Xenopus tropicalis: one gene and its partners. Each later gene encodes a partner of the first gene's protein in a complex. Links are inferred from orthologs where the notes say so. Each region holds a gene or a part of one and is shown on either strand. Other genes may lie near its edges.

Evidence for each region.
Region 2: drc7 (region 1) and ccdc153 share a complex: the UniProt entries of both Homo sapiens proteins name them as parts of the nexin-dynein regulatory complex. The link is inferred for Xenopus tropicalis from reciprocal best matches to the Homo sapiens genes DRC7 and DRC12.
Region 3: drc7 (region 1) and fbxl13 share a complex: the UniProt entries of both Homo sapiens proteins name them as parts of the nexin-dynein regulatory complex. The link is inferred for Xenopus tropicalis from reciprocal best matches to the Homo sapiens genes DRC7 and FBXL13.

The regions. Positions count from the first base shown.
Region 1 is NC_030680.2:76,083,195-76,086,852, forward strand, and holds part of drc7 (dynein regulatory complex subunit 7), read right to left. Parts: intron 3,549-3,658; coding exon 3,438-3,548; intron 320-3,437; coding exon 125-319; intron 1-124. UniProt on the Homo sapiens protein: Component of the nexin-dynein regulatory complex (N-DRC) a key regulator of ciliary/flagellar motility which maintains the alignment and integrity of the distal axoneme and regulates microtubule sliding in motile axonemes.
Region 2 is NC_030683.2:80,326,893-80,330,596, reverse strand, and holds the start of ccdc153 (coiled-coil domain-containing protein 153), read right to left. Parts: upstream 2,904-3,704; 5' UTR 2,715-2,903; intron 2,665-2,714; exon of another isoform or gene 2,489-2,664; intron 1-2,488. UniProt on the Homo sapiens protein: Component of the nexin-dynein regulatory complex (N-DRC), a key regulator of ciliary/flagellar motility which maintains the alignment and integrity of the distal axoneme and regulates microtubule sliding in motile axonemes.
Region 3 is NC_030679.2:78,014,292-78,017,949, forward strand, and holds part of fbxl13 (dynein regulatory complex subunit 6), read left to right. Parts: intron 1-808; coding exon 809-935; intron 936-3,658. UniProt on the Homo sapiens protein: Substrate-recognition component of the SCF (SKP1-CUL1-F-box protein)-type E3 ubiquitin ligase complex.

The DNA of each region.
Region 1 (3,658 bases):
ATGTTCTGTAAGAAATTAAGACATCTCAAAATCCTATCAAGAACTGTACAAGATTAGTTTAGAGAGGATATAGCAGAAGCTTTTAGGGTAGTAGATCAGTAATGACTAAGTACTTTACAGGTACCTTCTCAAAGCGGGCCTGGATCAGGTTTGCCTTTTCTATCAACCTTTGTTTCATATCACTCAGGCAATCTTCTTTCACTTTTTGTGCTTGCCAGAGTGTCAGCTTCTCAGGATCTCCCAACTGAGCAAGGAATGGAGCCAAGTAGTCAAGTTCCTGCACAGCACGGCGCTGACGTTCTTCTTGTATAGCTCTCTCCTGGGGATGAACAATAAACATATGATCAGCCACAGTCCTAACTACTAGACCCAACATGGGTTATGTATACAGTATGTTCCACAGATTTATCTAGTGCATATTTGACATTAATGGAACTACGTGATAACAGCACACAAAGATATTAATACAAAGGGTTTTGGACTCATATTCAATATGGGCCAAATATGTGCTGCTACTACAAGGTATCTTAAAATGCATTTTGCATAACATTTTTAAATATACTGCTTATTCCCTAAGCAGTTAGGTTATGTGTAATTTCCTAATTTTCTGCACCACAGAGTATCCAGTTCTTTAATAAAGTTGCAAGCTTGCAGTATAAGGAATACATAAGGAGACTGACTTTGATATATGGACTGATATGCTGGAATGTTAGGAATGAATTAGCCTGCAAAGGTCTACAGTGCAAGTAGCATTAATGAAATGCAATGCGATCATTTATCTTCTGTTGTCTTCATCCTGGAACCCCTCACCCCCCATGCCTGCTTGGGCCACATGGCAGACCTCCTTTAGATTGTGTCTGACTTTAAGTCACACGTGCTTTCTACACTAAATAGACTCTTACACTAGCAAACACATACATTTTGGTGGGCTTTTTCACACTTACAGTACACACACACATTCCACAATTTGACAAGTGTACAGATATATGCAGTTTTTTTAACCTTGATTTTTTTTTTCATTTTATGAACCATCACCAGCACACCCTGGCCTTTCCACTGATATTTCACCTGGTGCTCAGTAATAGTTCAACACATTCCAAAGTAGTATTAAAATTGCAAAAATGCTAGCACAACAGGGCTGTTTCAGCAGGATAAACCTGTAAGTTTATTTAGGGCAAACCATGTGTATACAAAATTTTAATATTTACACATGGTTTGCACTGAATAAACAAAATACTGTTGTGCCAGTAATTTTGATACTGCAAGGGATTTTATTGCATATTCAGTTCCTGCTTGTTTGTGCTATTAAAGCTCAATTTTTGCATAGTCTGTCCAAAGCACATTGTTCCATAAGTCCTGGTCTTTGTCCTAGGTGTTTATGGGCATTCTTTATTATTGTAATTTTCATGTGCGCACTCGGATCTCTAAAGTTACTAATGATGTCTGGTGCACAGCCCCTGGGGAGACGGCACTCCCCTACCCAAGAAAAACAAAATAGGTACTGGCATTTAAGGCAATGCAAATGGGGGACTAGACCCTTGTGTTTAATCAAGTAACACAACGTTTCTGGGGCATGCCCCTTCTTTAGTATTGCTCTGATGTTCTTTCTACAGTCACTCAAAGGATAGAGAATTCTACAAATTAACAGCTCTGAATGTTAGAAACCTTTTACGAAACCTCCCTTATCTTGAGACACTTCCTCTGAAAGCATGAATTGATTAATTAAGCATAAATGAGTTTATTGTATTTATACATAGTCCCTGCTTAAGCACCTCTTCTCCAATGTAAACATCCCAACTTGGGTAGCCTTTTTTTTATAACTGAGACCTTTCATATCCTTTAGAACTTTAGCTGCCCTTCTTTGAACTGTCTCTATATCTATATCTTTCTGAGCACTGGAGAGCAAAACTACAATGCACAAAACCCTAAAAATGAATATGGCTACAAATACCACATTTTATATACTGTACTTGTTGCACCAGCCTAAAGTTTCAGTTTCACAGGAGCTCCCCATCTTGGAAAGTGTCTGCGACACTCACATGCTCTGTGTTCTCTGAGCAGCTTTTGAGAAGCTAAGCTTAGGGGTTGTCTGTCATATAAGCTGATGCTACAGGGCTGATTATTACATTCTGATGCTAGTTGCACTGGTTTCTAAGCTGCCATGTAATAAATATCTGAATTAATTACTAATCAGCCTTATATTGTGACATTTATATTCTATATATACAGTATATCCCTAAGCTCAGTAACTGACAGCCGCACAGAGCATGTGCAGAGAATCAGCAGACATAGATCTTTCCTGCTAAAGGGCTGTGGTTGCCTTGGGCAGGTTCAGAACCAAACATAATGTACAAAATTTCTAGCCTACTTTTTTAGTTAAACTTTAGTTCTCTGTTAAGGGTATACAAAGTATATTTTAGATTTATAGGTGCATAACCTTACATTTATCAACACTGAATCTCATCTGCCAAAGATGCCAGTTTGTTCATATCCTCATATTTAGCTCTTACAATGCACTACCCAAGTTATTAATGAAGTATAATTAAAGTAGACCCAAAAAACCTAGTAAGAGATTGTGACTGTATCAAAAGCTTTGACAAAACCCAAGTAGATCAGACATGCTACAACCCTGCTATCTAAGTTCCCTTAGTAAATCATACAAAACAAGTATGTGTGTTTGACATGATCTGCCCTTTATAAAACCATGCAAATGATTACTTATGATGCTATTATCCAAAAAATGATCTCTAAACAAACTTTCAAGTCAAGGAAATCATAATACTTTTTTAAATACTGGAATCACATCAGCTTTCCTTTATTCCATTGTTATAATACCAGCTGAAAGGAAGAATGAGAACATCCAAAAAAGTGACCTGGATAAAACTGGACCAAGCTCTAAAATTGCTTTTATTTGCTCTTTTAGTGTAAACAAAATATTTTGTAACTCGGATTCCAAAATGAGGACCAAACACTTCCTGGAATGGAATTTAAAGAATGCATACATGTGCTGAGACACACATTGAGTGGCACCAAGACACCCACTAAAACTCCTGAAACCAGTTATTATTGCTGTAAAGCAAGTGTAGTTCCTACCTTGTATAATGTGTCTTGTTAGTTTTTAACAAGATTCACCTGAACCACAACTCTATCTGAGACAATTCCCTAACTCTAATTTGTAATATAAAACTGAATGTTGGTGCTGGCAGGCTTTTTGGGGAACAATTGCATTAGGAAGATGGCATTTCATCTGAAATCACATAATCTCTTTCTCCTTATTAACCCCTACAATGTTGCAGCATACATAGCTTCAAATTATATAAAGCTCAGCAAGACTGTAACTTTAATATTTCTATTATATACTTAGAAGTTTCTTTCAGGCCCACCTCTTGTTTTGTTTAAGCTAGCAAAACTGTTTTGTTGAGACCGCACATTCTCACCATGGCTTCTCTTTTTTCCTTGCTTTTCTCATTTCTTTCTGTGTCATAGATTGATATTGTAAGCTGAGGGTCTGCCTCCTCCTGGGCTCGGGTAGCCAGTATCTCACGTACCTGGCAATAATGGAGTACAAAGTCATATATATCATAAAGATATGATTTTGTTTAACATTATCATCAAAGTACACTTTTTATATTAAATAAATATTGGTTATGGCAACTCC
Region 2 (3,704 bases), on another chromosome or scaffold:
AGGATTGAAAGATGCAAAGGCACAAGAAGAAAATAATTTTGGAGAAAAAAACTACCATGTGCCCCTTGAAAGGTTCATGTGGAATTTCAATCCTGCAAACTAATACATACTAATAATTGCCAATGCACAAATTATGGCCTATGTAAAATATTAAATTAATATTGAAAAATTAGCACCACACATCCCCCAAAATATTTAAGTTTACTTGTCACACTAAGGCCCCTCATTATATGTGAGTTCTTCACTGCCTTATTTTATTGTAAAACCATGTTCTCTTACCCTTAGCACAGGAACACTAGTGAGACTAGTAGGGAAGGACCCCACCTAACATAACTATACACCTATGAATGAAGACTATATAAATAGCAAACAAATCTTAACATGTATGACCACCTTAACAAAATTAACTGAAATAGCTTAAGGCCATGGTACTAAATATAATTCAAGATGATGACAGATGTGCTACTTGTTCCATATTATTGCTAAATCATTTATAATTTAGATGACTAGATTAATGTTTACAAACTGTCCAGTAAATTAGTACAACAGATCACACAGAATATTGGAGAATATTGCCTTGAGCTCCACACACTGGGAAATCTGCGGGTGCACATCAAGGCTCTTTGCTGTCCAAGAAGGCAGATCTGATGCTTCCAACCCCTTATGTTTCCATCACCTGTACATACATTTTCTTCTCTCAGACTGGGTATTGGTCAGCGGAGATTGCAGTTGCATGTAAATGGAGAAAGCTATTGGGAATTCTCCATGTAAAATTACAGGAGTATTTTTTGCCACCCCTGGAAAAGGAGAGACTTCTCACCTTGCCTTATGGCAAAAGGACCCATGGAAACTTGTGTCCACTGGATGCAGTTTAGAGGATTTGTACCCGGTTTTTAACTGAATCTGAATCCTTGAAATACAGGGCTGGTGGCAACCCTACAGCACAACAATACTTAAATGCAAAGAATTTCACTGGACTATAATAATTATAATTGATTTTTTTGTGCAAGACATAAGTACACTATATATATATATGTTTGTGTTTATATATACTATGGGGCACATTTACTAACCCACGAACGGGCCGAATGCGTCCGATTGCGTTTTTTTCGTAATGATCGGTAATTTTGCGATTTTTTCGTATTTTACGATTTTTTCGTAAAAACGCGAGTTTTTCTTAGCCATTACGAAAGTTGCACAAAGTCGCGATTTTTTCGTAGCGTTAAAACTTGCGCGAAACGTCGCGCCTTTTAAGTTTTAACGCTACGAAAAAGGCGCGACTTTGCGCAACTTTCGTAATGGCTACGAAAAACTCGCGTTTTTACGCAAAAATCGTAAAGACGCTGAAAAAATCGAAAAAAATACGAAAAAATCACAAAATTACCGAAAAAGTCGCAAAAAAAATGTTCATTTCCAATCGGAATTTTTCCAATTTGGATTCGAAATCGTGTCTTAGTAAATCAGCCCCTATATGTATAACACAGAAGTGCCATGAATATCATATAATTATATCCTTAAAAATTATGCTTAGTGATGGCATCAGTTATAACGATGCTTAATGATGTAATTTCTGACACATGGCTCACTGAAACTTGTGTATTTATAATAACTAAATGTATCCACTGTTGTAAAATAAGAGGATATAAGAACTCATGGTCACGAAACTCCTCTGTGGAATGGCTATCCTTATATTTTAAAAAAGAGGGTACATTATTCACTATATATATGTGTGTGTGTGTGTTAAGCAATATTATAGTAAAAATCAGACAGTGAAAAATGTTGCATTGTATTAATAAAAATAGTTTGGACACCAATCTAGTGCTCATTTATGAACAAAAGTGCAATGCTCTAGGAACAAAAATGTATATGCCAGTATAATAGTTGGCACTCAAAGAACAGCATGCTCTTCAGCTTGTGATTTACCACGGCAGGTTTATATTAGAAAACATTTGGATTCGGTTCAGCCAGGAGTGTGGATTTGGCCGAATCTTGGCTGAATCCCTAACTGAATCCTGGATTTGGTGCATCCCTAGAAATTAGTTTTGTGTGTTGATGTAACATGTAAAGAAGTCCTAAAAGTAACACCTCCTCAACTTCTGTATAGTTGCGCCAAGCACCACTGTGTCATTCCTCATCCTGCTTATTGTGATGAACCAAAGTGCAATAGAATTGTGACAAAAGAACTAAACACTAACGTAATTTTAATGCTGACTCTCGGAAGTGATGCAATCCTAACTCTTAAAAAATGTTAGCTGCACTGCTCAATTCTGTTTGTTTTGACACAGCATGTGCAAGTTGCTGTGTGCCCACAATTAAGTTTGAATTAAAAAACATGGTGATTTGCATCAAAAACTGCACGCTGAACTTAAGGTTGTAAATGACCTCTTACATTTCAATCCATTGCAAAGTAGTTTTGCAGCATTGCATAGTTAGGAGCCATTCAACCCTGCTCTGTATGCTTATCATAAGATATCCTATATCTGATTACCTTTCGTTGCAAACTGATTATTTTCTGATTCTGTCTCTCATTAGATGCAGGTATCCAGTCAGGCCTAGAGCAACACTGAAGAGCCTGAGGATAGTGGAGACATAGCAACTGCAGGGGCTGCCCATGATAACGATGCCATCTTCCTTTTCCACATGCTGCCTTTCCAAATACGCAACTCTATAACATACTGTATTTTAAACAGCAAATATCAGCAAGTGGCCCTTACCTGCAATGAATCCTGTTCAGCAGAACAACAAAGTGATATTCACTGAGAAATGCTTACCCAGCAGGAAGACACTTTAAGATCCTGCCCACAAACCTTGCCCAGCCGATTCAGAGAGAATTGTATACAAAAGGTTGCTAGGTTTCTGTAATGGTAACAAAAGATGTATAACAACAAGGTACCGGTAAATCTCTGAGAAGAGACAAAAACAAGAAATTTGTTAATGCAAATCACCTTAATAAAAAGAACAAAACAAAACATATTAAAGATTCAGAGTCTGAACTTAAAGGTAATCTATACCCGTAAAATGTTTTTTGTATAATGAAATAAAAAACATCTCTATGCTATCCTACACTCCCAGCTTTCCATTATGTGTGTATAAGGTATTTATAGTAGAAATATCATTTTCAGTAGCAATGACATTTACAAATAACTTTAAGGGTTCTGGCACACGGGGAGATTAGGGCGACTAATCTCCCCATGTGCCAGAGCCCTAAGACCGCTGAACATTTGAAATGTAATGTATAATGTAAAATTGCTTTAAATTAAATCTTCTTAAATTATGCTAAATGTTTTTGGGTTTAGATCCTCTCTGGGTAAAGACACGTGGAGCTATTTAGTAGCAGCTACTTGTGACGGCTACTAAACCCCAGAAAATACCCTGCCAAAGACAATACTGAGAATTGCCTCTGCTAAACCACACTTAGGGGCACATTTACTAATCCACGAACGTCCGAATGCGTTTTTCCGTAATGATCGGTATTTTCTGCGAATTGTCAAGACTTTTTCGTCGCCGTCACAACTTTTTCACAAATTGTCGTGACTATTTCGTCGCCGTCGCGAAAAAATCGGATTGGTTCAATACGTATTGCTCAATACAAAAAAACCGCGATGGCGACTAAAAAGTCGCACAAAATATGATAGCCGTGACGGCGACGAAAAAATCACGCAAAATACGAAAAAAAAACGCGATGGCGATGAAAAAGTTGCAAG
Region 3 (3,658 bases), on another chromosome or scaffold:
AATGGGCACTAACACGAGGGATGAAAACATAATTTTGCCTCTTTATAGATCCCTGGTAAGGCTTTACCCTGCAGTGCAGTTTTCGGCTCCAGATCTTAATGAGTTGGAATGAATGCATGGATGTGCAACTAAACTGGCAAACGCTGCTGCCTGACTCTAAATGCTGCTGCCAGACTTCATCTATCTCACTGTTCCACATCTGTCACTCACTGATGCATATCTTTTTGCTGCCTCCCAATCTCCTCTAGAATCGAATACAAATTACTAACACTTACATATAAGGCCCTTACTATTGATGCTCCTCCCTATATCTTAGCTCTAATACCACAATACACTCCTTCACGCAACTTTCTGCCTCTGACCTTCGCCTCTCTTCTCCTCTCATCCCATTCCCAACTGCAAGACTTCTTCCGGGCTTCTGCCTGTCTCTATGCCTTGTCCCATCAGACTCTCCCCTTCCTTCCAAACGTTTCCTAAAGACCCATAATTATATTCAAGGTATCTAAACTGATCTGAGATTTATATATGTATCATAAATCATCAATCAGTATTCCTTATGCTAAACCTTAGCTACATGAATAATGATTAATATATACAGGGGTATTTTACGTTTTTATAGCTTAAGCACCCAGAGTGTACATATAACAGTGAATCTTGTTTACATCAGCTTACATTCTGGCTGTTGTTGTGAAAGTTACTATGTTGTCAGTTACTATACTGCAGTCGTATTTATAGAGTTCCTTTATTGATTATATTTTTTACTGGATTCAGATTTTAAATGTTTTCTGTATTCCTATTTTTATTTTAGGTGTCATAATTTAACCTACCTAAGTCTTCGCTACTGTGAAAATTTGACAGATTCTGGCTTTGAGCTACTAGGAAACATGGCCTCACTTATTTCCATAGATCTGTCTGGGACAAATATTACAGACCAGGTATGTTAGCACAAATATTTTCTTTCCTTATTTTTCCATTAATATCCCAAGATATATGGAAAATGTTGGTACAGCAGAACCTACTGCTTAACATGATAATGAACATACATATTATGAATACAAGGTGAACGTGATGGACGTATGTCTTTTTTCAACCCAACTTACTATGTTACTATGTAACTACTCCTAAAACACCTTTTTATTATTCTTATACCCCCTTATGTAATAAAAGGCAATAAGTTTGCCCAGGTGCAGTAACTCATAGCAACCAATAAGATGTTTGCTTTAACAAACAACAGATGACCAGTAAATGCTTCCTGCTGATTGGTTGCTATGGGTTATTGCTCCCTGACAAACTTTGTGCCTTTTCTTACATAAACCCTTTGGTATGCATTTTACCTTCAGGTTTAGTTTAGATTACAAGTTGATAAATGTTATCTCTAATGCTAATAGCATATCAGTTGCTTATTTCTGATGGCAAAAAAAGCCAAATCCTCTTATGCTGCCTTCCACTCCTGATAAGGAGGCAGCAGATTACATAGTTACATAGTTACATAGTTACATAGGGTTGAAAAAAGACCAGTGTCCATCAAGTTCAACCCATCCAAGTAAACCCAGCACACCCAACCCACACCTACCAATCTATACACTCACATACATAAACTATAAATACAACCACTAGTACTAACTGTAGATATTAGTATCACAATAGCCTTGGATATTCTGATTGATCAAGAACTCATCCAGGCCCCTCTTAAAGGCATTAACAGAATCTGCCATTACCACATCACTAGGAAGGGCATTCCATAACCTCACTGCCCTCACCGTGAAAAACCACCTACGCTGCTTCAAATGGAAGCTCCTTTCCTCTAATCTAAAGGGGTGACCTCTGGTGCGTTGATTGTTTTTATGGGAAAAAAGAACATCCCCCAACTGCCTATAATCCCCTCTAATGTACTTGTACAGAGTAATCATGTCCCCTCGCAAGCGCCTCTTTTCCAGAGAAAACAACCCCAACCTCGACAGTCTAACCTCATAGTTTAAATCTTCCATCCCCTTAACCAGTTTAGTTGCACGTCTTTGCACTCTCTCCAGCTCATTAATATCCTTCTTAAGGACTGGAGCCCAAAACTGCACCGCATACTCAAGGTGAGGCCTTACCAGGGACCTATAAAGGGGCAAAATTATGTTCTCATCCCTTGAGTCAATGCCCTTTTTTATACAAGACAGCACTTTATTTGCTTTAGTAGCCACAGAATGACACTGCCTGGCATTAGACAACTTGTTATCAACAAAAACCCCTAGATCCTTCTCCATTAAGGAAACCCCCAACACACTACCATTCAGTAGATAGTTTGCGTTTATATTATTTCTACCAAAGTGCATAACTTTGCACTTATCAACATTGAACCTCATTTTCCAGTTTGCTGCCCAGTTATCTAATTTTGTCAAATCGCTCTGCAAAGCGGCAGTATCCTGCATGGAACTTATAGTTTTGCACAATTTAGTGTCATCAGCAAAAATAGAAACAGTACTCTCTATGCCCACCATAGGTCATTAATAAACAAGTTAAAAAGCAGATTGCTGAATTTATGAGACGTTTTAGCTCATTAAACAGAAAGAACAAAACTACACAATTCCTGGTCAAACAAGGCTTTCTTGCCGTAATTATAAATGAAACATCAGTAGATGGCAGGCAAACCTGTATGAGCTAGTGCTTCAAACTGCAGCATATTCTAGACACAGTATAAATACAAGTTTTTCATTAAAGGAATACTGTCATGGGAAAACATTTTTCTTTTAAAACGCATCAGTTAAAGGACAAGGAATGGCTAAGTCACTTGGGGGTGCCAAAATGTTAGGCACCCCCAAGTGACTTAAATCGCTTACCTTGTACCCCGAGATGGTGCCCCTGTTAGGAGAAAACAGCACCAGCCTGGGGTACCTGTAGCACAGCTCTTCCTCCTTCCGCCTTCTCTTTTGGAAGGACTAAGGAAAGGCGCATGTGCAGTAGAGTGAAAAGCCGACTTCTCTGTTAAAGTTCAGCTTTTCACTCTATTGCGCGTGCGTTAGAAGACGGAAGGAGGAAGCGCTGCAGCTACCCCCGGGCTGGTGCTGTTCTCTCCGAACAAGGGCACCAGCCCAGGGTACAAGGTAAGCGGTTTAAGTCAATTGGGGGTGCCTAACATTTTGGCACCCCCAAGTGACTTTGTTTTTCCTTCTCCTTTAACAGAGCTTCTTCAGAAGAATCCTGCATTGAATCAGTTTTTAAAAGCACAAACAGATTTTTTTTATATTTAAGTTTTAAATTTCACATGGGGCTAGTCATGTTTTTCATTTCCCAGGGTGCCACAGCCATGTGACATGTGTTCTGATAATTTTCAGTCACACTTTACTGCTGTGCTGCAAGTTGGAGTGATATCACTCCCCCCCCTTTCCTTTTCCCAGCAGGTGATGATCAGAAGGTAGCAAGATAGCAGCTACCGATTGTTCTGCTGATCAGCTGCTGGGGGGAAGATAGGGGGTGTAATATCACTCCAATTTTGCAGCACAGCAGTAAAGAAGATTATCAGAGCACAAGTAAAAAATCCAAGTCAGCTACTTGTTTGGATTAAGTTTTACTGCTGCCAAAGCCCCATAAGGGCTCTGGCACACGGGGAGATTAGTCGCCCGCGACAAAACTCCCTGTTCGCGGGCGACTAATCTCCCTGAGTTGCCTTCCC